Struthio camelus: one gene and its partners. The protein of the gene in region 3 interacts with the protein of the main gene of each other region in a biochemical or structural test. Links are inferred from orthologs where the notes say so. Each region holds a gene or a part of one and is shown on either strand. Other genes may lie near its edges.

Evidence for each region.
Region 1: the proteins of AURKA (region 3) and GADD45A form a complex in vitro, tested with the Homo sapiens proteins (2 studies listed by BioGRID). The link is inferred for Struthio camelus from reciprocal best matches to the Homo sapiens genes AURKA and GADD45A.
Region 2: the proteins of AURKA (region 3) and INCENP form a complex in vitro, tested with the Homo sapiens proteins (3 studies listed by BioGRID and IntAct, with this or other methods). The link is inferred for Struthio camelus from reciprocal best matches to the Homo sapiens genes AURKA and INCENP.
Region 4: of the proteins of AURKA (region 3) and NIN, one has a biochemical effect on the other in vitro, tested with the Homo sapiens proteins (2 studies listed by BioGRID). The link is inferred for Struthio camelus from reciprocal best matches to the Homo sapiens genes AURKA and NIN.

The regions. Positions count from the first base shown.
Region 1 is NC_090949.1:37,060,230-37,067,870, reverse strand, and holds GADD45A (growth arrest and DNA damage-inducible protein GADD45 alpha), read right to left. Parts: upstream 2,728-7,641; 5' UTR 2,635-2,727; coding exon 2,591-2,634; intron 2,506-2,590; coding exon 2,404-2,505; intron 2,321-2,403; coding exon 2,116-2,320; intron 1,733-2,115; coding exon 1,619-1,732; 3' UTR 967-1,618; downstream 1-966. UniProt on the Homo sapiens protein: In T-cells, functions as a regulator of p38 MAPKs by inhibiting p88 phosphorylation and activity.
Region 2 is NC_090946.1:7,624,625-7,632,269, forward strand, and holds the start of INCENP (inner centromere protein), read left to right. Parts: upstream 1-4,502; 5' UTR 4,503-4,752; coding exon 4,753-4,889; intron 4,890-5,025; coding exon 5,026-5,139; intron 5,140-6,002; coding exon 6,003-6,793; intron 6,794-7,645. Other genes in the region: inner centromere protein A, read right to left, coding at 55-791, 3,476-3,589, 3,915-4,051. UniProt on the Homo sapiens protein: Component of the chromosomal passenger complex (CPC), a complex that acts as a key regulator of mitosis.
Region 3 is NC_090959.1:12,393,592-12,402,204, reverse strand, and holds the start of AURKA (aurora kinase A), read left to right. Parts: upstream 1-5,363; 5' UTR 5,364-5,458; intron 5,459-5,747; 5' UTR 5,748-5,752; coding exon 5,753-5,806; intron 5,807-6,956; coding exon 6,957-7,239; intron 7,240-7,829; coding exon 7,830-7,908; intron 7,909-8,613. Other genes in the region: CSTF1 (cleavage stimulation factor subunit 1), read right to left, coding at 631-908, 2,306-2,501, 3,268-3,441, 4,056-4,175. UniProt on the Homo sapiens protein: Mitotic serine/threonine kinase that contributes to the regulation of cell cycle progression.
Region 4 is NC_090946.1:80,848,002-80,855,595, reverse strand, and holds the start of NIN (ninein), read right to left. Parts: upstream 3,476-7,594; 5' UTR 3,382-3,475; intron 3,131-3,381; exon of another isoform or gene 3,007-3,130; intron 1,950-3,006; exon of another isoform or gene 1,843-1,949; intron 1-1,842. Other genes in the region: protein ABHD12B, read left to right, coding at 4,112-4,224, 6,342-6,469, 7,313-7,415. UniProt on the Homo sapiens protein: Centrosomal protein required in the positioning and anchorage of the microtubule minus-end in epithelial cells. May also act as a centrosome maturation factor.

The DNA of each region.
Region 1 (7,641 bases), on a different chromosome or scaffold from region 3:
GCAGCTGTCCCTGAACTGTCCCACCCACCTAGCATGAAGCAGGGTTTAACTCCTAGCACAGAAACCTCGTAACCCTGGTGGCTGCAAGGGAGCAGGCAAAGCGTTATGGAGGAAAGCAGGACTGAAGTCCTTAAAGCAGAGTGAAGCACAAGGCTGAGCAAAGTAATAGCCACACTGGCAATTTTAAAGCTCCTGGAGAGAAAAGTGACAGTAGACTTTTTCTACTGCTGCTGGAAAGCACCTCCGAAAGGAAAAAGCAGCTATGCAGGAGACAGGGGCCCTGCTAACAGTGCTGGTAGTGTCATAGAAGTGGTGGGAGTCCCATGGACAGGTCTGGAGTCCCTCAAAAATGGGATGGGCCAAAGGCAACTGCATTTTGAGAAGTGCCAAGAGACTGGAGCGAGGGAAGCAAAGCAGCTTTTCCTGGGAGGAACTGGATGCCCACACTGATTGCAATCATTGCACCCTCCCAAGCCAGCATTCCTTCCTCCCCTGCTTTGACGCATAAGCAGGAGCAACACAAAGATCAAATTCAGGAAAGGGCAGAAGGGTTTGCATTGGGGATATGGTGTAATACTGGTCAGCCAACCAGGTTAACAGCTTTTCTCAAGAGGAGACGTTAAGAAAAGTTTTGCTACTGAAACAGGTCAGGTTTCCCCAACTCTCACTAGGATTCAGGCCCTCTACTAGTGCTGCAGCCTCTAAAGTTAATTTTATTTATTTAAAACTGTGCTGTAAGTGCCAGTGGTCAAGAAAAAAAAAGTAGCAGTACCTGCAAAACATCAGCTACTTTTTAGTTTTACGATTGTAGGAGGGGCCAGGAATAAAGCCTACGTGCCATTTTAGGTCCTGCACAAGCTCTGAATATGCAGCACTCTTGTCCCTGACAAGGGCCCCCAGTCACCAGCTGAGCCTTTTTGAGGGCACACTACTGAATGCAAGAAAGTAAGACTTAGTACAAAGGAGTTGAGGTTAAATTTTTTATTTAAAAAAAAAAAAACACCACTATTCAATTTCAAACAATTATATTAATGTAGCTGTCTTTAAAAGAAGTGGTATGGTTGTAGACCAACTGCTTAAGGGTACTCTGGTTCTGAAAGCTTGTAGCATAAATAAGTTTTCCATCAATATCATAAAATAACTTATTATATATCTTAGAATATAAACTTGAGAATTAACATCCCAAAATACAATAAAATTGTGTGTAAAAGTGTTTTGATTAACCTTTTTGCTCTTTCATGTTTAAGGTACTTAAACCAGAAACTCTAAGTTGCACTTTAAAAAACCATTAAGGGTGTTGGGTGTTTTAAGTAACTCAGCCATACAGTGTCTCAGCTTTTCCGGCAGGCTTTAATTCCTTTAGCAGCACAAAGGCTGCTCGTTCAGCTTCGCTTCCGTGTTCATTCCCATCGCTTGCCAGCTGCGGAGTCACTTTTCTTCAGTCCCACACAACATGTAGATTGACTTCAGTCTACCCCACTTGACTTCAGTTTTATTTATTTATTTTTTTTCCTCCTGTAATCCTTGTGTCAGGGTAGGGAGTTACTTCCTGAGCAACTGCTAAAGCATTTCAAAACTTCAGTGCAATTGTGTTCAGCGAGTTTCCATCCGGCTGCTATCACCGCTCGGGAAGGTTAATCACAGGGACCCACTGATCCATGTAGCGACTCTCCCGGCAGAAGCACATCAGCTGACTCAGCGCCGGGTCCTTCCACTGGGAGGCATGGGGGTGCTGGAAAAAAAAGGGAGAAACGGGGCTGCTTTAAGAAAAACGACCCCCACGAAGACACAAAGCAGAGAATCCAAGACTTCACTTATCTTGAATTAGAAAAACAAGGAGAAAAGCATGCACAAAGCCTGCCGTGCATCCTTGAGCTCACACTCAGATGACAAACAACTTCCCGAGCCCTTCACAGGCAGCTTCTCCCGATCCGCCCACAGGACGCCCCCAGCCCCTGCACCCTGAGCAAGGGCTCGGGGGAGGGGGGGCCTGCACCCCCTAACGCTCCCGCTTTACCTGGCGACCCTCACGGCAACACCCAGCGCCGCTGCCTTGCGGGGCCAGCGAGGGGCAGCGGAGGAAGGCCCGGGGGTGGGACGGGGGGGGCTGCTCACCGTGACCAGGACGCAGTGGAGGTCGGCGGGCGGCCCGGCGGCGCGCAGCAGCTGCGCCAGGCGCGCCGGGTTGCTGACGCGGAGGATGTTGATGTCGTTCTCGCAGCAGAAGGCCTGGAGCAGCGTGAAGTGGATCTGCAGGGCCACGTCGCGGCCGTCCTCCTCGTCGGCCGCCAGCAGGCACAGCACCACGCTGTCGGCTGCCCTGCGGGACGGGGGAAACGCCGTCGCCTCAGACACCGCCGCTGCCGCCTCCGCCTCCCCCCGCCCCGGCCCGGCCGCACTCACACGTTGAGCAGCTTGGCCGCTTCGTAGACGCCGATAGTGATGCTCCGCTGGCTCAGCGCCTTGCTGAGGACCTCCTCCAGCGCGTCGCCCACCGCCTCCATCCTGCCGACACAGCCGCGCTCAGGACCGGACCGGACCGGACCGGTCGCCGGTCTCCGGCCCCCGCCGCCCTCCCGGCCGGCCCTACCTGCCGGCGGCGCCGCGGTCCCCCGGCAGCTCCTCCAGCGTCATGGCGAGCGCGTCCCACCCGCTCCGCGTCCCGCCGCCGACTGCACCGCCCGGCGCCCCGCGCGCTGGACCCTGCCGGCGCCCGGCCAATCCGCGCCGGTCACATTTGCATGAGCGCCTTCTAATTGGACCATGCAAATGAGCTCCGCCCCGCCCCCCACCGCCTCGCCTCGCCCCGCCCCGCCCCGCCGCGCCCGGCCGCGCGCCGGCAGCCTGAGCCTGTTGCTGCGCGCGGCGGCTGCTGCCGGCTGCGGCGGGTGGCGCGGGCGGGCCGTGTGGTGACCGCGGCACCCGGCCTCGTGTGTTGACCGCGGCACCCGGCCTCGTGTGGTGACCGCGACACCCGCTGTCGTGTGGTGACTGCGGCACCCGCTGTCGTGTGGTGACTGCGGCACCCGCTGTCATGTGGTGACCGCAGCACCCGGCCTCGTGTGGTGACCGCGGCACCCGGCCTCGTGTGGTGACTGCGACACCCGGCCTCGTGTGGTGACCGCAGCACCGGCCTCGTGTGGTGACCGCAACACTGGTGTCGTGTGGTGACCGCGACACCCGCTGTCGTGTGGTGACCGCGACACCCGGCCTCGTGTGGTGACTGCGACACTGGTGTCGTGTGGTGACCGCGGCACCCGGCCTCGTGTGGTGACTGCGACACCCGCTGTCGTGTGGTGACCGTGACACCCGGCCTCGTGTGGTGACCGCGACACCCGGCCTCGTGTGGTGACCGCAGCACCGGCCTCGTGTGGTGACCGCAACACTGGTGTCGTGTGGTGACCGCGACACCCGGCTGTCGTGTGGTGACCGCGACACTGGTGTCGTGTGGTGACCGCGGCACCCGCTGTCGTGTGGTGACCGCAGCACCCGGCCTCGTGTGGTGACTGCGACACCCGCTGTCGTGTGGTGACCGTGACACCCGGCCTCATGTGTTGACCGCGACACCCGGCCTCGTGTGTTGACCGCGGCACCCAGCCTCGTGTGGTGACCGCAACACCCGGCCTCGTGTGGTGACCGCGGCACCCGGCCTCATGTGGTGACCGCGACACCCGCTGTCGTGTGGTGACCGCGACACCCGGCCTCGTGTGGTGACTGCAGCACCCGGCCTCGCGTGGTGACTGCGGCACCCGGCTTCGTGTGGCACCCGGCCTCACGTGACACCCAGTCTCAGGGGGTGCCTGGCCTCGCGTGGCGCTCAAGGCACCAGGCTTTCATGAGGCGCCGGGCCTTGCGCGGTGCCTCTCCCCGCGTGGCGCGTGTGACTAACCGTGGCTTAGCCAGGGAGAGCACGTCGACTGCGCCTCCCCTCCTGCAGCGGCTGGCGCCCCCTCTGCAGTAAGAGTGCTTGGCCAGAGCGTCTCTGCATGCGCCTCTGCATGCGCCGCCCACCGCTTCCAAAACCTGCTTTCCCGAGTAAAGAGCGGTGAGCAGGGGTAAAGCAATAGCTCCGACTTGTTTTATTCAGAGCTCAGCTACGAAGCGCACAGCCGGTAAATCGCCCTAAAGCGTTCTTCGTAACGCACCAAAATGCATCTCTTCGCTCGCCCTCTTCTCAGGACCGAGTCTCCTCCTAAAGGTCCCATTTGTTAAAGCAAATGATTGATGTAGGAAATGCTGATTCACGCAGCAGAAATGAGAAAACTTTGTACCGAGACGAAGATGGGGAGGGAGTGTCCAAAGGTAGAGCTTGTCAGGGCTGGTTTGGCCATTAGCCACGTGCTCGGGGGAACACGGCCCCGTTTCTAAAAACTTGAAAAGCTAAAGTATAAAGGTATGCCCCCACGGATGTGTCTGAACTTGCACTTTCTCTGAGAGGAGAGCTTACTTAGCTGAATTTGCTCACCTGCTTTTGCTGTGTGGTTTCTCAGGAGGAGAGCCGAGCCGTGTGTCGGAGAAGCAGTGGCGCCTTAGCTCTTGTGTCATACAATGGGCAACACCTATTCAGAGTGAACACATCATCTTAACGTCCCCACATTAATTTTCTTTTTTTTTTCCCCTAGGATAGGCCAAGCCCAAGGTCTTTGGCTCGTGGCCAGCCAAGCTCCAAGTGACACAGTGTTTGCCTGCTCCTACTTCAGCGCAGGTACTTCATTTTCCACCATTTCCGTTGTGAGTCAGCGTTCCAGACATCCCTGATTTACAGTGATAACTGGGAGACAACAGCTTCGAGCATGGTCTGTACCCTCAGACAGAAGTCATGGGAATACTGCCACGTAACGTTTAAGTTGTGATCAGGTACGCACTTACTACAGAAGTCACGAATCTTGCTCTGGCTTTCTATTCAGTGAGGGAAAACAGGATTTGTCTAGGAAAACTGCATGTCTTTCTGTACCAGAGCATTTTAAGAGTATTTGGATCCTGTCACGCATTAGGCCTGCACAGATCACAAGGCTGGCTTCAAATTCACAAATTCACAATTAAGATGAAGTTTTCTTTTTTTCCTTCAAGCATAAAGATTGCATCCTTATTATTCCTGTTTCAATGAAAGCCAAGGCACTCAGGAAATAACCTCACTAGCTCTTTAAAACCTAAGCACAACACATTGCGAAATATCTAGTACAGTCTTTAGCATTGGCAAGAGTGAAAGCAATATTTTGACTTGTGGTTTTCAATAAGAATGTGATAAAGTGGTCACTTGGCTTAATGTCATTAAAAGAGGTTTTTACAGTGTACAGTAGTATAGCTGTAGCTGCATTTAAAAAGTGCCAAGAGTAAATTGAGGAAGGCGGGCGGGAACTGCGTACTGCAGATAGCGTCTGTCCTGAGTTGCACAATGTGACCTAACCTACAGCCTTGGAGACAGTCTGAGATTCTGGGTACGCAAGTGCTGAGGTTAATGTCCTGTGCATGTTATCATCCTTCCAGGAACTTGGGAGTCTTCCTCCAGTTTTTTTTTTTTTTTTTAAAACAAGCTCCAAGTTTCACGTCTGCATTGTATCTTGGGACATGTTTTCTGATCTGTATGTGTTGTGACGTCTTTTGTTGTTTTTGAATTACCTCCTGCTTTTCCTTCATAAAAAAAGTCAGAAGCTTGATGAGACCTTTTCACCAGAGATTCTGAGTGAAAGCCAGGTTCCTGCCCTGAAAATGTCTGTACCCCCAGACATCTGCCTTATAGGACATACTGCTGCTTCTTATAGTATTTGGGACACTCTGGTGGTTATCAGTGTTGGACCCAGGGGAGGTAAATAAGGCAACAGAGCCTTAAAATACGTGCTTTGTTTATAGTAAACACTGTAGTTTCACTTCCAGCCTTGCTGGTAAGGAAAGGTGACATGGCATATTGAGAAATACCACAAGCTTCAGCGACAGCTTCAGGAGCTCTCGTCTCAAACTCTTACGTCAGAGCTACAGGACGGATGGTCTGCCCCAGGCAGCCAGAGGCAAAAGGCACATCAAAATGAGCGACTTCTCTACTTTTCAGCAAGATGTGTTACGTTGCTTGTGCTGCAGTAGTTACAGGTACCTCTAGCTTTTGGGGCTGGAAAAACCTGTTGCTCATAAGTGTATTTTTTCTGAAGCCAGAGCTCTGCCTGCCTGCAGACACACTGGAGCTGGTGAGGCGAGCGCTATCAACAGGGAAGGCAGCCTGGAGAGCAGTGGGGGGCCCGGGTCAAGACTGTGGGGCTAGTCCAGGTTGAGGCCACGGATGCTGCAGACACGCTGTTAGCAATACCCACGCTAGCTTGTTCACGGCAAGCCTGGATACGTCCACTCCACGTGCTGGCGTATCGCTGCTGAGTGAAGGGGAAGCTCAGGCCATGTTTCAGCTGAGTGCCATCCTCTGTAGGAGTGGAGAGGAGACAGAAGTGGTTTCAAACAACCTCTGAAGACTTTGAGGGGAAACAAATCCTTTCCTTTCAGGTCGTTCGTCCATCTGTTTGTGCGGTCGTTCAAGGTCCGTTTGGGCTGTGGTGCCAGCTGCAGAAAGGGGTGGGTTCCCTGCAAGGCAGGATGGCTTGGCTCCCTGTCTCGTTAGCGCTGGCCAGCACAGCACATGCCCTGCTTCACGCTCTACCGCTGTTCAGACCAGTGCTGTGTCTGCTTATGTGTGTTTGGTACAACATTAGATCTTGAATGCAACTAATGCTTACTCCCAGCTGTTGGATACCACATCACTAGAGGCAGGTCGCTCCTGCAGATGCAGAGGGGACAGTCTAAGGTGGCTCTGCATGGACAGACAGGTGGACGGTTGGTGCACCGTTAGGCTGGTTGGTACGTGGGCAGTGTCAGCCCAGGGACTGAGGATCTTTCCAGATGTAAGTAGTGCAGCAGTGTAACTCTGGAGCATGGCTGGTGTTTCCCGACAGCTAAAGCTCTTCATGCATCTTTCTGGTGTAAGAAGTGATTCCCTTGGTGTCTAGTTTGGCTCATGTTAAGCCACGTTGTAATTTTCCCGTGAGTCACAGGCATTACAGCTTGTGTTATTAATTGTAAGAAATACCTTTCTTGACCATCGTGTGAAGCCTGTAATAGTCACAGAGCTGTCCTGATTTAATGCAGCAGCAGCTGGGACGAAGGTGTTTTACCAAAGTCACCAGTGTACCAGGCTGTGCTAACTTTGTTATCAAACTGTCTGGAGTGAGGTTCCTGCCCGAGAGCGTGCGTGTATGTTGCTTTGCTGGTGGCAGCCCTGTTGTAAAAGTTGCCCGTGATCGCTTCCCACTGCAGCTATCTCTGATGGGGGCAGTTGTAGTGGACTCTTCTCATCCCCTGCTATAGTGAAGCAACATTTTATTTGTGTCAGTGCTGTAAGACTGTGCTGTTTCTAGGTGCTCAGGCTTCTTCCTCTAACGCTGACTTACATAAAACTTCAGAGCCTTGCAGAACAAACCTGTCCCCTCCTGTGGGCTGCACTGGCCAGGCGAGCTGGCTTTTAATGGGGCAGACAGCGTCTTCACACGATGCAGTCACCCTCAACAGGATTTCCAAGCGCAGGATTTAACTTGGGGTTTCTCTTTGAACTTGCTTTTGCTGCCATATGGTCCAGCTCAGCCTGTAAGACCTCCAGGGGAGGGT
Region 2 (7,645 bases), on a different chromosome or scaffold from region 3:
GCTGAAAAGCTGATTTGGCCAAACCAGCATACTCAACAGTGGAAAGGAACTTACAGCTCACTCTGCTGGAGGCAGAGGATGATTCTCGAGCTGCTGCCTTCTTTGAAATGGCCCTGCTGATAGATCTCCGGATCATGCTCTCTCTTTTGCTGGCCAGTGAATATTTTTCTGCCAAGGAGGACCTACAGCCTTTGTGGGGGCCACCCACAAAGCTTCGGCGCCCAGAGCAACGGCGTGTTTTGGCTCTCATAGCGGTCATTTTGTTGTCAGAGTCCCGGAAAAGCACGTTTTCTAGGCCTTGAGGAGACCACTTTCCTTGGTCTGTGGCAGGATCTCCATTTCTAGCAGCCTTGGGAGTGGAGGTACTTGCTCCTCTTCCGGGGGTCTCTTCCCCCTCCCTTGCTGTCTGGCCACCAGGGACCACAGTGACAGATGACACATCAGGCAGCTCAGTAACTCCAGCCCCCGTGGGCAATCGCTCTCCTGCGACAGCCTTACCGGCCCCACGTCCTATATTGGCCCTGTCTCCCTTCCCTAACTCGACCTGAGGGAAGTCGCTACAATCCATTTTTGCCACTGGAACTTGCGCTTCTGCTGGCCATTTCCCAGTCAGCGCCACTGGCGGTGCTGGAAGCTCTGTTTTAACCCTGGCCTGAGACCCTACTGCAGGGTCGGGTGTGGACACCTCTTCCCCCAGACTGCTGGGGTTCGGGGGTTGCTCTTTGCTGTGGCGTTTCTGGCAACCTGGCTTGGAAGACACTAGCTTGACGCTGCTTCTCCTTCTGGACAACCTTAGATAAAAACAATAACGTTATCAAGTGATGCAGAAATCTCCCACTCCCAAATGATTTTGGAGCAAAGAGGAGACAAATTTCAAAATGAGCCGACTGGCTTCCTCCCTCTGCCCCCTCCTCCCCCCCTTTTATCACAGTTCAATCAACCATGTGAGCTCCCAGATGTGCTCTGGCAGGTTTAGCTGCAACAATTCAGAAGTTACTGCTCCCCACAGCCTGCAAGATGTTTTTACTTGATGTTACCGTTCTGTGCCATAGGACATATATAGTCTTACTGCAACCATGCCCGCTTTCAGCCTGGCATGCTGGATTTACTCACAAATAAAGGTTGTATCACATGGACGTAAACTGCAGCGGTTGAGGTACCGGGACGCTCACTGCTCTGTGCACAGAGTAACCCTCAGCCCCAGCTGGGGCTGACATTAGGGGACAGTATGTTCAGACAGGTACAACTTAACCCATCCTGTTTGCCCTGAACAAAATACACACAGCACAACCAGACAGGAAGGAATTTTGGGCTGAAGATTCGCAGGAACGTTTATACAACTCAGTCTCCCAGGATCAATTTTACGTGGAAATCTCCCCAGTAAATCTCGCCTAGGAACAGCAGGTTACCCTGCTCTCTAGCAGACTGCCCAGCGTAAAACAGATAAGCACTGGGGAGGCAGGGGCCCAAGCACTGAGACAACATTCACTGCTCTACATGCAGAGTTTGCAATCAGCTTGGGAAACAGCGATGTCGCAACACATGCGGTATCTGACAGCGCAATCCAGAGGAAGACAGCAAAAATGTACATGTATAGTTACGACTCTAAGAAGTTTCTTAAGTTATTGTAATTTAAGGGGAAAAAATATCAGGCTCAGTAACTCTCTCCGGCTATGTTGCTTCAGTTAATCCTGACTAGTTACGCAGAGGCTTGGGGAACTCCGGCAATGAAATCCCGCTCGCCTGCACTGAGTCGCCAAGAGAGGACAGAACCATGCATTTGATCAGCAAGTTGAGGAGATCAGCTGGACCAATATAAAAAGCAAAGGACGATTTCAGCACAATCAAAAGAAAGAAAGCCTCCAGCGCCAAATAAACCCAGTGATAGTTACATAAAGGGTGGAGATCAGAAAAAACACAACAGAGAGCTAACATGAAAGTGCACGTCAGGTGGAAAACGTGGCTAAGAAAGCCCACTGTGTCATAACCTAGCTAAATTAACAAGGCTTCATGGTCACTGGTGGAAAACCGGCAGTGACTTGTCCTGCAACCAATATTCAAACTGATACCTGCTGCCCTCAGTCCACTCTTGGGCTCTTAAATTTCTTATTTTGACCTCTAGCAAAAAGGAGCGACTGTTAAGTGGGAAATCTGAAGTTAAAAACGCACAAAGAAATGTGTTAAAAAAAAAAAAAGACATACTGAGCAGAACAGAGAGCAATGGAAAAACAGTCGCCTGACCCCACAGGATATAGTGCAAAGGGCTGAACTTCAGTATGAACTTCCTGTTGGCAAATGATCACCATCCTTTTAGGCATTTTGTCCTATCAGGAGGAGAGCTTTTGCAAAACTAACTTTAAACGAGGAGAAACGTATGGAAGATTTGTCTTCTTTAGAGGAGCAATCCAGCTGCCACATTTGACTTGGAAACTAACAGGATGTTTTAAGAGCTCTCCCCATTTAGATCTTCAACATTTTCCTCTCCTGCCCTCCTTAACCACACGCATGCATGAACTTCCCACGCTTCCTTACTATTCTTGCTCTTCTCCCCATCCTCCATGTCTTGTTTTTGACAATCTTACAGTTCTAACCCTTCCTGCCCAACTCCTGTGGGCTTTTTCACCATGGTTATCAAATTCTCAGTGCCTTACAACCACAAACAGCTTACTAATGCCTGTCGGATCAGTAGGTTTTGGTCACACTGCAGTGATTGTCTCCGTGTCTACTCTCAGATCATAGCACACTCTTCCCTGAGGGGAAGGTTACCTTAATTACCTTGCCACAGACCAGGAGATGGGCAGACGTACAGCTAGTTACTACAAAGCAGTGGCATCAGGCAAGCTATTTAGCATCAAAGCCATCCCCGATTATACCTGCAGTTAAATCTTGCCCAACATCATCTTGCCTCTGCATCCATTTGCAGACAACTGTCGTCGAGAGGACGGTTCCCTCACCCCCCAAGATAAGCAGGTCTTCCATATAGTAAGTTTTAGTTTGTTTTCTAGTGACTGATATGACAGAGGAGACAAGGCATTTTTGTACATATTCGGTAACAAGTTCCATTCACAGGTTCTCAGGCACCAATACAAAGATTCAGGGTGTGAACACCAGGAGCGACCTCAGGCCACAAGGCATGCTGGAAAAATCAAGTAACCTAACAAAAAACCCCAAACAAATGAGAAAATAGAGACAAACATTTATTATTCTTTGTTTCTAACCAGAAAAAAAGGAAAGTGAAGGAAACCCAGCAACTGTCTTCCAAACATTCACAACAAACACATAAAGTTGACCTATTTTGGAACTAGATAGGTCATATCTAAGTATATTTATTAACTCAGGAAAATAAACTAGCTTTTTTTTTGGGGGGGGGGGTTACAATTCAATTTGTTCCACCCTTAAAAGTTTATTTTTCATTTCCTATTTGCTGAAGGTTACAGCCACGCAGCAGAGCCAGAACATGAACCGACCCACCTACCTCCTCCTGGTTGGCTCCTTGCTTTCATCTTTGAGAGAGGAGGACTGCCTTTTCTTGGGACGCCTCCTCTGCGACGGCGTTTTGGGCACTAACTCAGGTTCGGCCCCAAAGTTGCTGTTGGGCAGGCAAACGCAAGAAAGACAAGATGGCCTTCCCCTCCCTTGCTCCCCACCCGCCAACCAGGCCATCCGCAAAGTAACACACGCTCAAGGAGGCCAGCTGGGTGAGAAACAGGTGAACGAGGTGCAACAGCCACCAAGGTCCCAAACAGAGGCACACAACACACCAAACCACTTGGCAACACTACTTTCCTCACAGCAGGCCACCAGGGCACGTGGATTAAGCTTACAGGAGGAGAACGGAAGCTGAAAGTGCTGAGAACAGGGAGCTTTTTTTTTTAGGAGAGGGAAAAGAGGCCAGCTCCGAGGGCAGCCCCTACCTATCCAGCAGCCTCATGCCCTGCTCCTCAGCCTGCTGCAGCCAGGCCAAGTGCTTGTGCTTGGCGTCGTGGAGGAACCTGGAGAGCCTCTGCCCACACACCTCCAGCAGCCGCCTGGGGCCATCAGCCTCCGCCATGGCCTGCCTAAAACACAGCAGGGCAGGGGGGGGAAAAGGCACTGGCACCCCAAAGCCAGAACAGGCCCGCCACACTCCTCCTCAGAGCCCAGGCACGAGGGCAAGGCCGAGGCGCCCTGAGGAGCCCGGCCTCGACGCCGAGGAGACCCAACCGCCTCCCTCCCGCCCTCCCTGAGGGGAGGCAGCTCCCGCCCAGGCACAGGCCGCGCCTCACCGCATAACGCCCTCTCACAACCACAGCCCTTCCCCCCTCTCACCCACCTCCGCGCTGAGGTCATCACGGCCTGCGCCAATCAGAGCGCACGTCCCACCCCCCCCGCCCAGCCTCTTATTGGCGGTCGCCTCTGCCCATCACTTCCACCTCTCCCTCCCCCCCCCCTTTAAAGCCGCGCAGCCGCCTCGACTCCTTCCCTCCCTTTTCGCTTTTTAGGCGGAGTCCTCCACGACCACAGATGTCGGCGCCCAGAAGGGCTCGGCTGTTGAGCGCGCCTGCGCCGCCAGCCAATAGGAAGGGCGGGCTCGGGGCGGCGCGCAGGCGATAGGCCGGCGGGGCGGTGACGCCGGCGGGGCGGTGGGCGAGCGTTAGGTTTGAATTCCAGGCGCGCGGCGCGGCGGGAAGGCGGAGCCGGAGCTGGATTCGGGCCGGGCCGGGCCGGGCCGCGCGCGGGTGACGGGCGGTTGGGGCGGGGGCGGCTGAGGCGATGGCGGCGGCCACGGGCCCGGCGCAGCTGTTGGCCCTGTGTAACCGGCGGCTGGCGGAGTTACTACGGCAGGTGGACGACACCGACCTGGTGTGGCTGCGCGAGATCCGCGATGAGGCCGCTAGGATGTTCAGCAGGTACCTTCCTCCCCTCTTCCCCCCCCCCCCCCCGCCGCCTTCCCTCACGCACCGGACCGTTAGGCGCCGTTAACGGTCTCTCCCCGCACTGCCCTTCCGTCTCTCTTCCCCCCCCTCCCCCCCCCCCCCCGTGCAGCCACTACAGCGACGAGCCGGAGCTGATGCCCAAGACGCCGTCGCAGCGGAACCGGCAGAAGAGGAAGCGCCTGTCCGTCCTGCAGGACGAGACCCAGGAGCCGAGCAGGAAGAGGTAAGCCTGGCCCCGGCCGCCCCTGGGTGCTCAGGAAGCGCCCCCGAGCTCGTCCCCTCGTTGCCCGCGGCCCTCACGGCAAGGAAGACCCCCGCTTCCAGCCGGCCGGACCCCCCCTCACCCCCCCAACCCTTTCCTCGCTGGTGGAAAGCCCGAGGCGAGAAGCTGTGAGGTCGGTGCTGCCTGGGCTCCAGAAAGTCCTAAGCGAAAAGCAATTGCTTGAGAAAGATCCATCGAAGGAAGCCTGAAGACACGAGGAAGCTTCTGAAAACCTGGGAAAACTTGCTCGAGAAATGAAGATCGCACAAAAGCGGTCTCCTCCCCACGCTTTTTCCTTTAATACTTGCTCCTTTGTACTTGTATCAACTATGTTGCATTCCAAAGCTCTTATTAACCTAGTGGTCTAAGCATGTTATAACATCAAGGTTCTCAGATAACAATGCACTGTGTAAGTATCCTGACTTTTGTCACTCAGTTTCTTTTTATATCTCTACCTTTCATCTTCCTCTGGCTCTCTCTTCCCTCAAATGGTTGTGTCATTTTAGTTACTTTCTGTGTATGTTGAGCTCTTGTATTGGCTCTTGCACATCTTTTAGCTTTGTTGCCCTGCACGTTCCAATTTATCTCAGGAAGTGCTTCAAGCCCTGCGCTATTTCTAGCGTGTGCTATACAGAACACTAGTAAATTGCTGTACAGACACCCCACAAATACAGATGTAAACAAAGTGTTTTTATTTACTACGTTCCCCATCAGAAAACAGCTGTATCTAACCTGCAAATGAATGGCTACCGGGCTGCTTTGGTAGGAATTTTGGGTCTATTCCTGAATCCGGTTCCAGTCTAACGCCCCGTTTCTGTTGTTAGATTATCTAGACGGCGGAAAAGCAGTATCAAACCAGTAACCTCCAAGCGATATTCTCAAAGACTCCAAAACAAAGAAACCTTGGAACTAATCAGGGTTGTGGCTGAAGAAATCTCCCCATCTCAGCAGTGGACAAGATCCCAGACTGCAACACCTGCTAAGTGCTCAGAGATCCCTACTGAGAAGAAGCCTTCTGTCCAGCCAATAGAAGGGAAGATTCCTTTAGTAGAAATTGGTGTCAAAGATCGCATCAGTGCAGAGTTACACCTGCAGAAGAGCGCATCTAAATCAGCAGAGAAGGTCTCTACAACCATCCTCTTGAGCCCGAATGATGATTCTCCAAAGGAAAGCAGTGCTGCAGAATTGCAGCCTGTGCCTGCAGCCTCTGTGCTGGTGGTTCCTCATACCCCTGAGGCAAAAGATGCAGGAGAAAGGGGCGCTTCTAAGTTGAAGACAGCAAATGCAGCTGATACTATGGTCGTGGTAAATGAAGAGGCTAAGGCGGAGGAGGTAGATGTCTCCGCTCAGGTGCCAGAGCGTAATGAGGGGTCTGAAAAGGAGCTTCCCCAGTGTATAAGGGATAGCCCAGGGACTCCTACGGGCTCTAGGTTGAGCCGTCGCTCTGTGCGCAGAAGTCTGATGGGTAGACCTTCCATGATTCGCAGGACCTCGTTGGCAGAGAAGTACTCCCTAGCCAGCAAAAGGGAAAGCATGATCCGGAAATCTATCAACAGGACAATGGTCAAGAGGAAGGCAGCTCGAAAGTCGTCTGTGTCCTCCAGTCGCGTGAACTGTAAGTTTGAATGTTTCCAAAAAAGTTTGCTTTGCACCATTCCTACTTACTTTGTTGCTCTGCTGCTTTCTCCTGCTGAAGAATTACAGAGCTAGTTCTTCCCCCTGGGTGCAGCAGCTGATCTTCCTAGGTTAGACAAACATTCGGTTAAATGTGAGGGTTCAAGGTGGCTTTGTAGAAACCTATCTGTATAGAGAACCCTTTGACGAGTTAACTGAGCTAACTAATAACTTGTGGCCTACAGATTCAGCCTTGTATATCGTGTGGGAGAATGGTCTTAATGTCTTCTAAGTTTCTGTGGTGGCTGCTTGCAAAGTTAAAGAGGAAGCCAGCGGATGGAGCTCTTAAGCAGCTACTAGCAGCGACCGCCCCTTAAGAGGGATATGGGCTCTGACAAAGGCTTGCATGTTTTCTGGGAAACAAGGTAGCTATATTTTATGAATCTGCTGCTCTTTAAACAGAATCTGGCTGCTAGCTCTAGAGCCTCTGTTTTGAGAAGGAAATTTTGAGACTGAACTCTGTAAATCCATTACAAAAGTTTGGAGGACTTCTAAGTTGCAGTAGAGACGGATTTCTGTGAAGAACATAAACTGACTTAAATGTTCCGATTCAATTGCTTTAAATGATTTAAATGCTCTTGCTACTGAATGCAATCATTGGATTTACTGCAGGAAAACCAAGTGATGGATATCACCTCTCTTGAGCTGAGCAACAGGCAACAAATAAGTGACTATTAAATGGTGAACTAATAAATGGCTCCTGAAATGCAGATGATGGAAGAGAGGTCTTCTGTGCAGTTCAGGGTGTTGGAAGTTCAGGAGAGACTGGCTCTTTCTTTTGCATGGCATACTT
Region 3 (8,613 bases):
TTGATAACAAAGATTGACTTGTCCAAACTAGCGTCAGTAACAAAGAACTGACACAAGAAAACACAGTTCAAGGGTACCAAACATCACCCTCATCCTCAACAGTCCAAATCAAAGCACTGTATTGCTGTGAAAATTAAGGGAAGCTGTAACAAGTGGGAAAACTGCAACTTTTATTCACATGGGATACTGCTGATCATTTGGTATGTATCTAAGCCAAAAAACCTCACCTTCTAAATTGCTACCTGATAACTTTATTAGAAAAAAGTGAACATGAATAAATATGAATTCTGTGAAACAGTAAGCTGCGAAACACACAGCCACTGGAGGCTGTAAAGGTCAAAAATGTAAGTGGGTTCAAAAATAAACTGTGTTCACACAAGACAGCAATTATCAACAAGTATTAGAAGAAGTGTCTAGAAGCAATTTCTGGCTCAATTCTCTAGACAGCTGCCAGAAATCACACAAGTATACTTGCCCTATTTCTTGGTCCTTTTCTTCAAGGATACTTTATGAGCTGCTGTTGGAATAGGAAATATGGTGAGCACACATTTGGTCCAACCCACTGGGCCAACCATAAGTCACAACACTTCAAAAATTCACCAAGTAGCTATGATTCAAGTGATATTTTACCTCAATAGGCATAGCACTTTTGGCCAACATTCTCTCTGTATCAAGAATTTTTATTGAGGCATCAGCTGATCCTGTAGCTATTAACTGTCCATCTCTGCTATATGTAGCTACACGACATGGTCCTTTATGAGACGTGACATAACAAGTTTCGTATTCAGAAGCCTCAGGAGACATGGTCTGTACATCTGCATCAAATTCTAAGTCAATTCCTGTGCCTGGAGCTACTGTATCGGACCGCCCAATTGCATATTGAACAGCACTGTCATCGTTCTCCATTCCTGAAAAGAGAGAAGTTGATGTACTTAAAATATGCTAACTTTCCCCATAGATGGATAGGCTGTGGCCAGATCTGTGCTACAGATTTCTCTAACATGTATACGAGGCAGGTGTTAGAAGAGATAAGCCCCTACTCAACAAAGCCAGGCTAGCAGAACACATTATACAGCAACACTTCTCACGAGAAATGAGAGCTAACTTGGCTACACTAGAGCACAACACGCTCTAGCAATTTTAGCTTTGTAATTTTAACCCTGGAAATACAACCAGCAAATATAATATTATAGTAAGTACTGATAAATGCACTAATAATCACTTTGGGAAGCCCTGGACAGACCTATTGCAAGCTTTTCTACAGAACGGAGAATCAAATCTCAACACTCTTACATGAGATTTAAAGTTAAAAACGGCAGCATTTACTAAGCCTTTTAGATTTTTGTTTTACTGGATCGAGGGGAAAAAAACCCATCCCACAAACCACCTCAGCATTGCTAATAAAAATCATTACTTCTGTTCGCACCCACCCTTCAGATTTAACTTTTTGATTTCCATCATGCATCTACAGGATAAAGACAGTTCAGCACTGGAACTCGTAATAAGGCAGGATGCAAGAATTTTCAGCTATGTGCCTAACTGTGCTCATCAACCTATCACAGGTGATAGAAAAGTTTTCATTGCTTTCATCTACAAAATGACTCTTGTATTCTTATTCCAGACAGATATAAAGCTTCATATATTTAAACCCTTGGAGCTCAACTAGTTCAGGCAGCAGAACCAGTTCAATTACAATACACAGAACACATGCAGCTATGTCCAGGCCTCTTGTTTTAACAGCAGCTCAGGTATTTTGACTATATACTATGGCACAGATGTACTCTCAGAGAGAGAGAGAGAGAGAGAGAGAGAAAATAGGCTGTACCCTTGCTGAGGCCCTAGAACATGAAGCTCATTTTTAATGAGACCAGTATATAAAGGCTAATGAACATGGCCTATGGAAGGGCTTAGTTCCTTTCCTACGCTTTCAGTGAGAATGATATTGAAAATTTTTCTACCATTGACAGAGAACTGTGAGGCTCACCCTACTTCTATTACTTCTGCAGACTCAATGATCCTGTTTACTGAAGCACATTTTTAGAAAGTTGTCAGTCACCCAGGACCCTGGACAGGTAATCTCACACGCTACAGAAGTTCAAACAAACAGATTTTGCCAACAGTCACTGATCTGTTTTGCATCCAGTGCATATCAAGAGAACAAATACACATGAAAACGTTATGGTACCGCTAAACTTAAGCTTTGCATTACCCAAGTACTCTCAGTAACATTAAACTCCTACCCCAAACGGATTTAACTACAGATCTAGAAACTGAACTTTTTATGATTTTTTTTATTCTAGCTTACCTAATTTAATTAGGTGCAGCAGTTGCTCAGATGGTGCACAGACTGATTGCGGTTTTATCTCATTTATCAAGCCATTGGCAATATTTATGTACCCATCATATAGCAGCTGACTAATGATTAGTTTATAAAGTTGCTGACGATCTTTCAAGCTGACTTTTGTTCTATACATTGTTAGCAAGGAATGCCTTGGAGGGGCCTGAAATAAACAAATACAAGAGAAAAATCACATACAAGAGCATTACATATAACAACTATGACCGTTGCATAAAGTACCTCCTGCTGAGCTTCACAGTAGGAGATCATAGCTAATGCTATCATGTTTCAGGTAAGATTCAGTATTAAATAGACAAAATTAAAAAATATAGGAAAACATAAGAAATCTGTTGCACTTATTTGCTGCAGAAATGAAAACATTGCCATTAAGTAAACGTTAACCATATTAAAGAGCAATAAAGAAAATGATGCGGTGAAAAAAAATCACAGCATTAGTTAGCAAAACTATCCTGTCAGTGTCTTTCATTTAGCCTCGCTAACACCAGCAGACAGGGGGACCTGGGCACGCAGAGCTAGGAAGATGATTAACAGAGAGCATTTTGACTTCCCTGCACATTAGCCACCCTAACACATACGTTCCCCCCTTTCATCCGAGGCTTTCACATCCTCTCCACACCTCCTCCCAGCCAGCACACGCTTCTCTTCGCCCTCTACACCCTCTCCCAGCCTCGAGTAATAAGACCAATAACCAATTTCGGGGACCAATAACCAGACAGGGAGGGGGCGTGGGGGAAAGGGACTGAATGAGGGCGGGGAGAGTGCTCAGCCGGAGCACAGCGGTCACAGGGAGCAGGCTTCAGACACCGGGGGCGGACAGGCAGCTTCGGGTGGGAGCTGCAGAGGACGAAACCCGGCCAAGGCAGCGGAGACGAAAGCAAGGGAGCGCCCAGAGCAGCGCCGGTACCTACCGACCCTTCCTTCTGCCTCCCTCGCTCTCCCCCTAAAATGGCGACCGGAGCCCTGAGCGCATCGATTGGCGGCGGCGGCGGCAGGGGAGGAGGTGGCGGCGGCGGCCGAGAGCGAAGAATGCTCCTCCGCGAAGGCTGCTGCATCGAGCGCCCGCAAATCGATTGGAGGCGACTCTTGAAGGAGAGAATTGCAGCATCACGTGACAGTGACACCACGCGCGCGCCCGGGCACTGGCAGGTCCCTCCGTCACGTGAGCGGTGACGCGCCAAGCGCGCCCCGAGCGCCCTCGGTGGGGGGGGGGACGGGGGGGAGAATGGGGGGCAGCGATGGGGCGGCCGGGGGGCCCCTCGGCGGCGTCTAGCGCGACCCGCCCCGCGGAGGGCAGCGCCCCGCCGGGAGAAGGCGCAGCAGTGTTCCCGGGTGGGATGCGGGAGGCAGGCCTAGGTGACCTGCGTGGGGGAGCCCCCTGGAGCTCAGGGCCGGGTCTTAGCAGGAGGGTGCCTCGTCTCAGGAGACCCGGGGCCAGGATTCTTTAGCGTCCCAGCTGCACAGCTCTGAAACGCTGCTTCTGCTGGGACACCAGTATCCCAAGCACGGGGACATCCACAGGGGCTAAAATAACAAAGTTTCTGGCATTGCTGCTCTGTGCTGCAGGCCTCTCTGATGAGTTCGACAACTTGGGCAGCACAGTAACAAGCACCTCACGCTGCCACACTTCACGGGCTCTCAGCAGGCTGAGAGCCTGTCCCAAGCGTACAAACACCACCCTCCCAAAAGTCCTACTCACGTCAGCCTCAAGAAACGGAAGTCGAAGTGGACGCGGGTCAAGGAGGGGGGATGCCATGCTACCCATGCCCCGTGGGAGCTGTCGTCTATCACATGCTGCAGCAACGCGACGACCTGACATCTTCTTTTTACCTATCCTGTATCACTTGTAAGAGCCGACACACCAGACTCGCCTTTGCGCTTGTTCTCAACGCTGCACAGCCAGTAAGAGTTGTCTTCAATCACGCTTCTTCAGAGGCTCAACGGACTCAAACTGGTTTTGGCTGTCGCTTGCCACTCAGTGGCCTGGGTCCTCCTCACAGGTGTGAGTAGGACCACTTGGGCAGCTGGCCACTGAGACAACACAACAGCCCCAAGCTCCTGTTACGCTTGCGCTCACAAACTGCACTGATCCTCCACTGTCACCGCTGTACCGCTGCCGCTCTGTGTCTCTTCAATACCTGCCGGGCTTTGGAAGCTGCCAGCAACCGCACGTCACCACTGGTGTAACACGACGGTCTGCTTTCCCCTTCACGCGTGTCTGCTGGCTGGTGAGGGTACCTCTGGCCAGGCGTCACCTCGCGGGCTGTGCGGTGGCGAGTGTCCCCTTCGCGCTCGTCCTCAAGAGCTCACGGCACGTGGAGCGCTGCCCTGGGCCGCACGTCCGGGCAACGCGAGGCAGAGGCCTGCTTCGCCCCTCTGCCTGTCCTGCGGGTCCGCCGGGCTAGGCAGCTGCCACCCGTGGCACCTTCCTCGCTGGCAGGACACAATGGCCCCGAGCCCCACTCACGCTCGGCTTCACGCGAGGTGGCAGCACAGCCTCTCCCTCAGCCCGAGCCGGAGGGTGCGTGTGTGGAGGAGGTGAGGGAAGCGGGTTCGTGCCTCACAGGATGCAGGACTAACCTGAAGCCCTTCCCCCCACAGCCGGCTGCACGCTCTGAGGCCTCAATGGCTGTGAGGAAGGGATGGTAGTTGTAGCGTTGCCACAGGTGGGTGGTCTGGACATACGCGATTTGCGTAACGGAAGACCCGGCCAAGCAGAGACTTGCGGAGAAAAGTGTGTAAACGGGGCGCCGATCCACGCACTTGGAGTACGGAAGGAGCCAGCGGCGGAGAGACGGTACGTAAAATACGCATGTAGCGCAAACACCGCCCTGGGGGCGGGCGAGTTGGCCCTACGCGGGATACGCAGCAGGCTGCCGTTGCGCATGCGCCCCAGAGGCTCACCACGACGAAGCGCAGCCTCGCAACGAGCGGAGCGTTTGGCGAGCCAATGGACGGGCGGGTCGGTGAAGAAGGAGCCAATCAGCGGGCGCGGACGGCGGGAGACGGGCCAATGGAAAGAGGCGGTAGTTTAAAGGGTATTTAAGGGAGGGCGGTTTGAATTCAAACAGCGTTGGCGGCCGGAGGGAGCCGAGGCCGGGGGTGAGCGGGCGCCCGGAGCCCGCGGCGGGGATGGGGCCCGGGGCCGTGTCGCGGAGGGCCGAGCCCGCGGGCGGTGCTGCCGGGAAGCGCAGGCTGGGAGCCGGGGGCAGGGTGCTGCGGCGCGGGAGCGCAGGCCCGGCCGCAGAGGCCGCCCGGCCCGCGAGGGAGCGGAGGGGCGCAGGCGGGGAGCGTCGGAGGGGAAGATGCGAGGCGCAGCGCTGCCCGAGGAGCTGGTCTGTGCTAACTGTGCCTCACGTGTAGGCTAACCTATATGTGCCCTTCTCCTCAGGCATCATGGACAAGAATACTAAAGAGAACCATTCTGGACACCATAGCTATGCTGCTAAGGTAAATAACTTGCTAGGTTGATTGTTCTGCTTTCTGTGATCATACAAGAGCTATAGACTTAAAACTGTGGTGACTACCACAGTTCTAAATAGTAAAAAAGGAAATTTGTCTTGAAGTAGCATTTCCTGTTTGCCAGAAACAAATTCCTATCTTTATCTTTCAGCTTCTCTTTTGGAGAGAACATTGCTCAAGGCTTGTTTGCCTTCTTGCTAGTATTGATATGTCATTCTCTAATTAAAACACTTTCCTGGTATCTTGCATATAATCTAATAGCCTTTAACTGAACAGCAAGTGCATGTGGGTAACTTATTCCAGATATGGTTTCCAAAAGCAAGTATTGTGTTAATGTCACTATTAGTATATCCATGTGGAGAGTGCTCAAGATAATCCTGACTGCATTATCTTTGCATACAGATACTTTCTCATTCTTTTAATTTAGAAACATGAGGCTTCAAAACTAGCATGAGTAAAACATATATATATATATATATGTTAATCAGGCTGTCAGTACACTTTCACTGAACTGAACCAGAAGATTAAGTAATGTCTAGGGGGAAAAAGAAGTAAAAATTATTACATAGGTATCATTAGAGGGTTTAAAATAAATGTGAGAAGCTAATTAGCAATATTTGAACTGAATTTTAGGCAAAGTATCCTAGAACAGCTAAGAATGGCTGAAGTATAAGCCTTAACTACCTGTAGCTTTCACTCCTTGGAAGGAAAAGATTAAAACCGGTTAACTAAAAATTACAGAATAAACTTTGTTCTGCTGAAATCTTCTTATGTTGCAAGGCAAATTAAGATGCATTCAAGAGAGCAGTGATTCAAAACAAAGCACAGTAGGCAAGTGGTAGGATTTGGAAGCAGGGGTCTGTCAGTCTTGCTACTGTTGACTGATACTCTTCAGACTTATGTGGAGTTCTTCCACTTGCTATAAGTGAATATGCTGTCCACAAGAAAATGTCAGCAGAGTAGTCTATAAATCAAATTTATCCTTAAAGCCTATGATCAGAATATCCTAACACCTCCCATTAGTGTGTCACATTCCCCTTTTACCCTGTCCCTAACTCATATATATGTTGTTTGAATGAGGCCATAAAGATTGTAGTATGCTCTTCCATAATTAGAATATCATGTTTTCTTTTTGAAGACTGTAAATCCCATCGGGGATGGCCCAAAACGTGTCCCTGTGCCTCAGCATTCTGCTCACAGCCGGTTACTAAGCAGTGGAGTCCAAGCACAACGTGTTCTATGTCCTTCGAACTTGGCCCAGCGAGTTCCTGTACAAACGCAAAAATCTGCACTGTCAAACCAAAAACTGTCCAACAACCAGACAGGGCAGCAGCCACGACCAAAATCTCTGGTCCAGCCAACTGCTAGGCCTCAAGTTCCAAGCAAGAACAATGAAAAACCTCAGCAGGCTCCAGGATCTGGTAATTAAGATGATGCATATGTGGTCAAATAGTTGTGACACTTGGGATGCTTCCATTCTATGAAGCAGAGTGCAGTACAAGAATTTTGAAGCTGATCTTAATGATATGTGGGAGTCTTGTACGGAAATATCTGGCTGCACCCAGAAACAGAATTGTAACGCTTGATCTTGGATGTTACTGCCAGGATTGCATGTTTAGAACTAATATGGGTGTTTCTTTGCTCTTGAAAAACTTCCAGCTACTTATTAGTCAACTGTGAATTAAAGAAATTGGCACTAATTCATCATGATCTTTATTACCAAAGATATTAAAATGAATAATAAAGTGCTGTATTGATGGTGGTGGGGAGGCGGGAAGCTTCTAAACATTTCTCTTGACTTAAAAAAGCTTTCTTGGAATTACATCTTGATAGCAGTGTAACTCAACTGCTATGCTGCCTTGCAATAGTAAGTTTATTTTTTAAAATATCACTGGATGGAATCTAAGAACTGTTGCTGATACTACACTGAGATTGTACTTGTTCCCCACATGCATTTTTTTGTACTGTGCTCATGGATTCGGTTCATAAGTTTCCCCTTATTCATATATAGCAAAAAATACTGAAGCAGAAAGCACATCTAAACAGAAAAATGAAGAGACCACTAAAAAGAAAAATGAAGAGACAAAGAAGTAAGTTGTTGTGTTCCTAAATGCTCCTAAATGCTAACAGAGCCCCATTTAATTAGGCTTTCTTTTAACTTCTAGGACTACATGCTACAACTAAGGAAATTAGCTGTAGATAAGTTCTAGTTAAGTACTCCAGCCCCTTGATTGAGAACAGTGTCCCAACACTTCATAGCTATAACATTTCTTAATGAAACTCTGGGAAAGCTTACTTGGACCTGAAAATTCTCAGGAACTGGAACTCCCTGTCATCTAAAGAAAAGCTTTTTGCTAAAAGATAACTCCCATAAGATAACTCTGATAAACACTAATCTAGTCACAGGATGTACAATTGAAAAATATGCCTCCTTCGTATGTGCAAGAGGTTGGAATCTGATTAGGGATGAATGAGACTCTTAGTATGGCTAGCTCTAAAACACAGTTCTGACATGCATTAGTAAGTGCGTGTGTATTAACTGTACTGAAATGTGCCTGGCTTGGTACATGCAGTTTTGACTTTTTTGCAGTAACACGTGGCTGATGTTAGCATCTCTACATGTAAGCTTTAAGAAGGAAGAGCCCAGCTTTCAGGCTTCTCTTCTGAAGTCTCAATGCATGTTTTGTTCTCTTGGTGGTGTTCCCTTAAGTACTACAATCTAGCTCAGGTCAGGAAGTAGTCTATTGAACATAAATGCTATTAATGTAAACCCAGAATACAAAAACTGGATACTT
Region 4 (7,594 bases), on a different chromosome or scaffold from region 3:
AGCCTGGCCTCCGAGCTCAGCCCGGGAGAGGGTTTCCACCCTTCCCCATGTAAAAAGCTCAGGAGACGGATAAATAAGGGGATGCCGCCCGCCTACCTGCAGCTGGTCAACGTCGGGTCCCCCGAGATGCCTAATCCCGTCCCAGTTATCCAGTGGTGCTTAAACACCCCCAGCTCGTACCGGGGGGAGCCCGCGAGGGCGGCGGGAACACCGCACTCACCCCCGAGCGCCGAAAACGACGAGGTCGCCGGCGCGGGAAAACGGGGGCAAAGCCGCTCGCGGCCCCCCCCCGGGAGGCTTCTGGAGGTACCGGGGGAACAGCACCTCTTGGAAACGCCCCTTCCCAGCGAAACCCAACGCAGAGGCGTGCAACAAGCTCAACAGCACAAAACCCCTCTGCAAACTTCTCCAGGAGGAAAAACAAAGCGCCAGGCCTAGGAAAGCGACTCGGGATTACAAGCGCCCCTCAGGCGTTTGCGGCAGTCCGAGCGCTCTGTGCTCCCCGGGGCGAGCCGAGCGCCCAGGCCCACGGACGCCGAGGGAAGCAAGTTTTCCGCAGCGGCTCTGTGCCGCCTTTGCGCCTGCCCTCTGCGCAGGGCCCGATCACCTTCACAGCCCGCAAGGTGCAGCGGCCCGGCCGTCACTGAACACTAAGCGAAATTTAACTCGGCTAGTATAGGCTTAAGTGGTAATTAGCGCCTTCAATCAATAGCAGCCTTGGAGCTTCAGCGTAGCACTAACGAAGGTGCGGATTACCTGGTCAGTAAGTAGCATGACCAAGCAGAAATAATGCAATTAGCACAACACGCTTTTAGTGGTTCGGTTTTGGTTTTTTTGGAAGCGATCTGCAACCCCCGTTGATAGAGGGGGGCAGGAGCCACGCGTGGGGCCGCAGGGCAAGCACACGCTAAATTTATGCAACTGGGCGGCCCCCCCCCCCCAAAAAAAAAGCAAAAAAAAAAAAGGAGAAGGGCAGCGTTTTGAATATTCACGACACCTCGGTATTTGCATTGTAATGGGTCCTTTCAAGAAGGAGCCTTCCCGGCAGCAAGGAAAAACAATGCGCCCATCTGTCGGGGTGCTGCAAGGGATGTTGCTCGGCGGCCGGCGAGAAGCCGGTGGGAGAAAACCCAAGGTAGATCCCCCCCCCCCCGCCCCCAAAAGCGGATTATTTGGGAAGCGAACAAAGCAAAAAGCCGGTTTATCCAGCACCGTCCCGGGCGGCTGGAAACGCGCCATGATGTCGGTGCCGGCGGCAGGGCCGGGCTGAGCCCCCCGACGGGGGCGGGGGGGGGGCCGGGGGCGCCGAGCGCACCCATAACCTCACCCCCCCCCCGCCGCCGCCCTACGGCCCCCCATCCGCGGCTCCGCCCGCCGCCGTTTTGGGGGCCGGGGTGTTGTGAAGCCCCTCTCCCAGGACGGGAAGGGCCCCGACGGCTTGGCAAAAGTCTCTTTTTTTTATTATTTTTTCCTTCCCCCCCCCCCCCCCGGAGCCCCGGGAGGAAGGGACCGGCCGGGCCGCAGCCACCAGGGCCCCCCCCGCGCCCCGCTCCCCCGGGAGCGCCGCCCGCGAAGCCCCTCCGCAGCGCACCCACGGGGGCGCCCCGTCCCTAAAGCATTCCCCCCCCCAACACCCTAAAGCACCCACGTCTCCCCAAAACACCCCCCTCCCCCAGCAACGCACCCCGCTGCCCCCTCGGCACACGCGGCTGCCGGGAAGGGGCGGGCTGCGCTCCCGGGGCCGCGGCTCCTTCTCCCCCCACCCCGGGGCCCGGTACCCCGCACCCCGGGGCGCTCCCCCCCCCCGCGCGGGGCTGGGCGCTGCCGCCGGCCGGGGCTCACCGGGCTCCGGGCCTGCCGGTGCGCAGCGGTGCGGAGAGGAGCGGAGCGGGCGCCGCGGCCGGGCGCGGCTCGCGGGGAGGCGCCCGGTTCAAATGCGGCCGCGTTTATTGGGCGGCCCCGGGGCGGGGGCGGCGGCGGCGGGGGCGGGCGGGGGCGGCCGCCGGCCTTTGTGCGCCGCCGCCGCCGGGCGGAGCCGCCGCGCCGCCCCCGCCCCCGCTCCGGGGGCACCGCCGCGGTCCCCCCCCCCCCCCCCGCCGCCGCCCGGCGTCCCCCGGCTCCCCGCGATCCTGCCTCCCCCCCCGGGTGCCATCACCGTGGTCCCTGCTCTCCTGCACCCCCGGGTGCCATCACCGTGGTCTCTGCTCTCCTGCACTCCTGGGTGCTATCACCATATTCTCTGCTCTCCTGCACCCCGGGTGCCATCACCGTGGTCTCTGCTCTCCTGCACCCCCGGGTGCCATCACCGTGGTCTCTGCTCTCCTGCACTCCTGGGTGCCATCACTATATTCCCTGCTGTCCTGCCCCCCCGGGTGCCATCACCGTGGTCTCTGCTCTCCTGCCCCCCCCGGGTGCCATCACCGTGGTCCCTGCTCTCCTGCCCCCCCCGGGTGCCATCACCGTGGTCCCTGCTCTCCTGCCCTCCAAGGTGGCATCACCCCAGCTCCCTGCTGTCCTACAGCCCAGGGTGGCACTGCTGAGGTCCCCACCGTCCTGCACCCCCGGCTGCCATCACCCCCAGTTCCTTGCCGTCCCGGCCCCCCGCCCGCAGCCCCCGCCCCCCCCGAAGCCCCTCGCTGGGCCAGCGCAGCCCCCTGCTCCCCGGCCCCGGCCTGGCCAGATGTCGCGCCGGCCGCGGCAATTTGCGCTTCCGTTTTTGCGCGTTTGCCATTTTTCTCCGCGGCTTTGCTGCTGCTCCGACACGCGGCGGCCCCCGGACCCCCCCCGGACCCCCCCCCGGCCCCGCTTTCCCGTGCCCGGTTCAGGCCCCCGCGCAGCGGCAGCCATCCGGCGCTTTGTTCGGCGGCCCCCCCCTTCCTCCTCCTCCTCCTCCTCCTCCTCCCGCACAAACAGCCCCGAGAAGGCGATGGCCGGGCTGCGCCTTGCGCCTCCGCCCCAAATCCGGCTCCGGGGCGGCGGCGGGCGACGACGACGACAAATCCCTGCCTGGGTTTTCGGCCCGGCTCCTCCGGTTTCCTTCTCTTCCGTCTGCGCCTGCGGAAGGGCGCAAAGAAGCCGAGGCTGGAACAAGCTAAAAACTTTCCCCCTTTGTGGTTTTTCTGCACAAAACAATGGGGAGAGCGGCTCGCTGCTGCCACCCCACGTCCGGCCTCCGCCGCGGCCCAGGCGCCTTTATGTCGCTTTGCCACCCGTGGGGGCACCCTCGGCCCCCGGCCGGCTCTCCCCTGACCCCGCAGGTCCCGCCGCTCCGGCCGCATCGGTGCGCTGAGCTGCGGCGGCCTCAGCACCGACCGGCCACGGGGAAGGAAGGAAGCGGCGCGGGGGTTGGGGGGGGGGGGGAGTCCCCGCGGGAAGTTTCACCGGGCAAAGGCCGAGTCCAGCCCGGCCTGGATCCGAGGGCGGCGGCGGCGCTACCGGCCTCTCTCGTCCGCCGTGCGGCCGGGGGCACCCGAGGACCCGGCGGCACCACCTAGCCCCGCCCCTGCAGGCCGAAAGGGGCGGGGCGGGAGGGGGAGTGGGCGTGGCCTCCCGCGCTGGGAGGGGGGGGTGAGTCTTCGCGGCCCCGGGGGCGAGGCGTAGGGGGCGTGGTTTGAGGGCGGGGGCGTGGCCTGGCGGGAGGGGGCGGGGCCGGCGGCGCGGCGGCGGAGCGGCGGCAGCGCGGCGGGAGGGGGCGGGGCCTGGCAGGAGGGGGCGGGGCCGGCGGCGCGGCGGCGGAGCGGCGGCAGCGCGGCGGGAGGGGGCGGGGCCTGGCGGGAGGGGGCGGGGCCGGCGGCGCGGCGGCGGAGCGGCGGCAGCGCGGCGGGAGGGGGCGGGGCCTGGCAGGAGGGGGCGGGGCCGGTGGCGCGGCGGCGGAGCGGCGGCAGCGCGGCGGGAGGGGGCGGGGCCTGGCGGGAGGGGGCGGGGCCGGCGGCGCGGCGGCGGAGCGGCGGCAGCGCGGCGGGAGGGGGCGGGGCCTGGCAGGAGGGGGCGGGGCCGGTGGCGCGGCGGCGGAGCGGCGGCAGCGCGGCGGGAGGGGGCGGGGCCTGGCGGGAGGGGGCGGGGCCGGCGGCGCGGCGGCGGAGCGGCGGCAGCGCGGCGCGGTGCGGGCGCGATGAAGCGGCGCGGCGAGCGGGGGGACGCGGCGGCCCCGGCGGGCGGCGGCGGCCCCGGCGGGCAGGCGGCGGCCAAGGCCAAGGCCAAGGCGGCCCCGGCCCCGCAGGAGCGGTGAGTACCTGCCGCGGCGCCGGGCCCCACGTGCGAGCCCGCGGCCCGGTGGCCCGTCCCCCCCCGCCGGTGCGGTGCCACCGCCTGCCCCGGGCCGTGTCCCTCTTGCCGGGGCCATATGGCCTAGCTGGGGCCATGTCCCCATGTCCCCTTTGCCGTGGCCTTGTCACCTTGCCGTGGCTGTCACCCCATGGCCGCGTCCCCCATGCCATGGCTGCGTCCCCCATGCCATGGCTGTGACCCCTCTGCCATGGCCAAGTCCATGCTGTCCGTGCCCCCTACCATGGCCGTGACCCCGCCGCCATGTCCCCGTGTCCCTGCTGTGACCGTGTCCCCTACCGTGGCCATGACCCCCATGCCATGTCCCCATGTCCCTGCTGTGACCGTGTCCCCTACCGTGACCGTGACCCCCCCGCCATGTCCCCATGTCCCTGCTGTGACCGTGCCCTCTACTGTGGCCGTGACCCCCCCGCCATGTCCCCATGTCCCTGCTGTGACCGTGTCCTCTACTGTGGCCATGACCCCCCCACCATGTCCCCATGTCCCTGCTGTGACCGTGCCCTCTACTGTAGCCGTGACCCACATGCCATGTCCCCATGTCCCTGCTGTGACCATGACCCCCCTGCCATGTCCCCACGTTCCTGCTGTGACTGGGCCCCCCTGCCATGGCCATGACCCCCATGCCATGTCCTCATGCCCCCTGCCATGGCCATGTCCCTGCTGTCCATGCCCCCTGCCATGGCCATGACCCCCATGCCATGTCCCCATGTCCCCCTGCCATGGCCAGGTCCCTGCTGTCCATGTCCCCTGCCATGGCCATGACCCCCATGCCATGTCCCCATGTCCCCCTGCCATGGCCAGGTCCCTGCTGTCCATGCCCCCTGCCGTGGCCATGACCCCCATGCCATGTCCCCGTGTCCCCCTGCCATGGCCAGGTCCCTGCTGTCCATGCCCCCTGCCATGGCCATGACCCCCATGCCATGTCCCCATGTCCCCCTGCCATGGCCAGGTCCCTGCTGTCCATGTCCCCTGCCATGGCCATGACCCCCATGCCATGTCCCCATGTCCCCCTGCCATGGCCAGGTCCCTGCTGTCCATGCCCCCTGCCGTGGCCATGACCCCCATGCCATGTCCCCGTGTCCCCCTGTCCATGGCCATGTCCCTGCTGTGCATGCCCCCTGCCATGGCCATGACCCCCATGCCATGTCCCCATGTCCCCCTGCCATGGCCAGGTCCCTGCTGTCCATGCCCCCTGCCGTGGCCATGACCCCCATGCCATGTCCCCGTGTCCCCCTGTCCATGGCCAGGTCCCTGCTGTGCATGCCCCCTGCCGTGGCCATGACCCCCAATGACACGTTCCTGTGTCAGCCGGTGCCCTGCCGTGGCCACAGGCCTGTGCCAGCTGCCGAGGATGGTGTCCCCATGGTCTCCCCCGGGAGGCATCTCCCCGGCTGCCCGCTCTGCTGCCCCCCCGGGTGCCGTCACCCCGGCTCCCCGCTCTGCTGCACCCCGGCCCTGCCCCGTGCCCCTCGGCGCGGTTGCAGCAGGCGTTGTGCAAAGCAGGGTGTGATCCCTCGCCCCCGTGTTTGCATATTAAGTGTAGATGAAGAGTGGCACCTAATAATTAAGCGCGTGACTCCGCGGGCAGCGCTGGCCCCGTGCCTTGGGCACGCAGCGGCACCGGCCCCCTCCGGAGCCCCTCACCGCCTCTGGGCGGCTCCGGGCACGGCGGCGTCCCCGAAGGGTCGGACGCGAGCCTCCCTGTCGCCTGCGGAGCTGCGGCCGCGGCAGCCCGTGACGCGTCCGACCCTTCGGGGCCGCCGCCGCCACTTTTTACCTAAGTGCTTGCTGACTCTCTGCGGCGAACCCGAGCCCCTTTTGCTGGATTTTTCTCCTCGTCCCTGGGGAGTCGCGCAGGCTCTTGGCGCGGGCGGGAAATATTTGGGAGCGTTGCTCGCCGGCACCGGCTCTGGGTGCTGCCCTACAGGGTTGCTCACTCTTTATTGCAAAACTCCTGGCAGGGGCTGGGAAGGGGGGGACCCCGACTGCGGTGTGTCCGCCCCCCCCCCCCCCCGAAGGACGGAGGGGCTGCGCTCACGGGGTTTTCTGCCTTGCAGGGGCTGGCTGGCCTGGCGACCCCGGCTCCGCACCCTCCTCGTGGACCTTGTCCTCATCTACGTGTCTGTGCCCTTCCTCATCCGCCTCTTCCCCGTGCTCCTCACCAAGTTCGTCTTCCTGAACTTCCGTGAGTGTCCCAGGGCCGCGGGACAGCCGGTGCCCCGCGGTCTGGCGTGGTGGTGGGGGGGGGACGGACGACGACGACGAGCCTTTGGGACCCCTTTGGCTCCGATGGCGCGCGGAGCCGGGAGGTGACCCGGCCGCGGCAGCGGGCGCCGTGGGAGCCGGCAGCGTTGCTTCAGCCCTGTCGCCCGGCCGGTCGGGCCGGGTGCCCCGGGCTTGGGCAGGGCGGCGAGAGCAGCCGGCGAGGAAGACGCCCGGCTCGGGGAGCCTGCAGCTCGCGGACCTGCACTGCTGATTTTTGCCCCCGAAGCCCGGGTTGGGCTGCATGCGACGTCTGTGCCCGCGGCTCGGTCCGCCCCGAGCTCCCTGCTTCACCCGGCGGCACCGGGGTAGCGCAGCCCGGCGCGGGCGGGCGCCCGGGCAGAGCCGGGAGCAAGGGGAACACGCAGGAAATGCAAAATACGGCAGCTCCTCGCAGCCCGTCGACGACGCAAGGAAGGGTCTCTGCTGCTCGTGCATCGCGGTTTTGCAAGCTGTAACAAGGCGGTGTTTTGCCGAGGACGTTCGCTGCCCAGAGTTGCAACACGTCTGGGCAGGCAGAGCGTCCAACGGGCCCGAGCGGCCGGCGGTGGGAGCTGGCGGGCGGCTGAGCTCGGCCGAACCGCTTCCCGAAGCCGGGAACAAAACAGCCGTCGTCTTCTGCGGGGGCCGGAGGTGTTTCCAAAAAAACGCCACCCGCTTCGGAGGCTGGCGCGCGACACGCGTTGCTTTGGGAATTAGCCGGCTGGGGGGGGGGGGTGCGAGGGGCGCCCGGGGTCGGCGGCAGCGCCTGTGCCTTCTCCCGCAGTGGCCTTCCCCTACTTCGTGGACCTCCGGCAGCCGGAGCTGCTGCTGAACAACACGGTGAGCTTGTATCTCACCACCGAGCCCGGCGTCACCGTCGGCGTCTGGTGAGTAGCAGAGCCTCAGCGGCGGGGTTGGCGGCTGAGCGTGCCAAGAGCAGGGCTAAAACCCTCCAATTCCCAGTTATGCCTCCGTAATTAGTGTCTGCCGGCTCCCTTTCCCTGGGCGAAGGGGTCTGAAGCCCCTTTTGCCCCTGGCCGTTGCGCGTTAGCTCCAGTTGCACGGA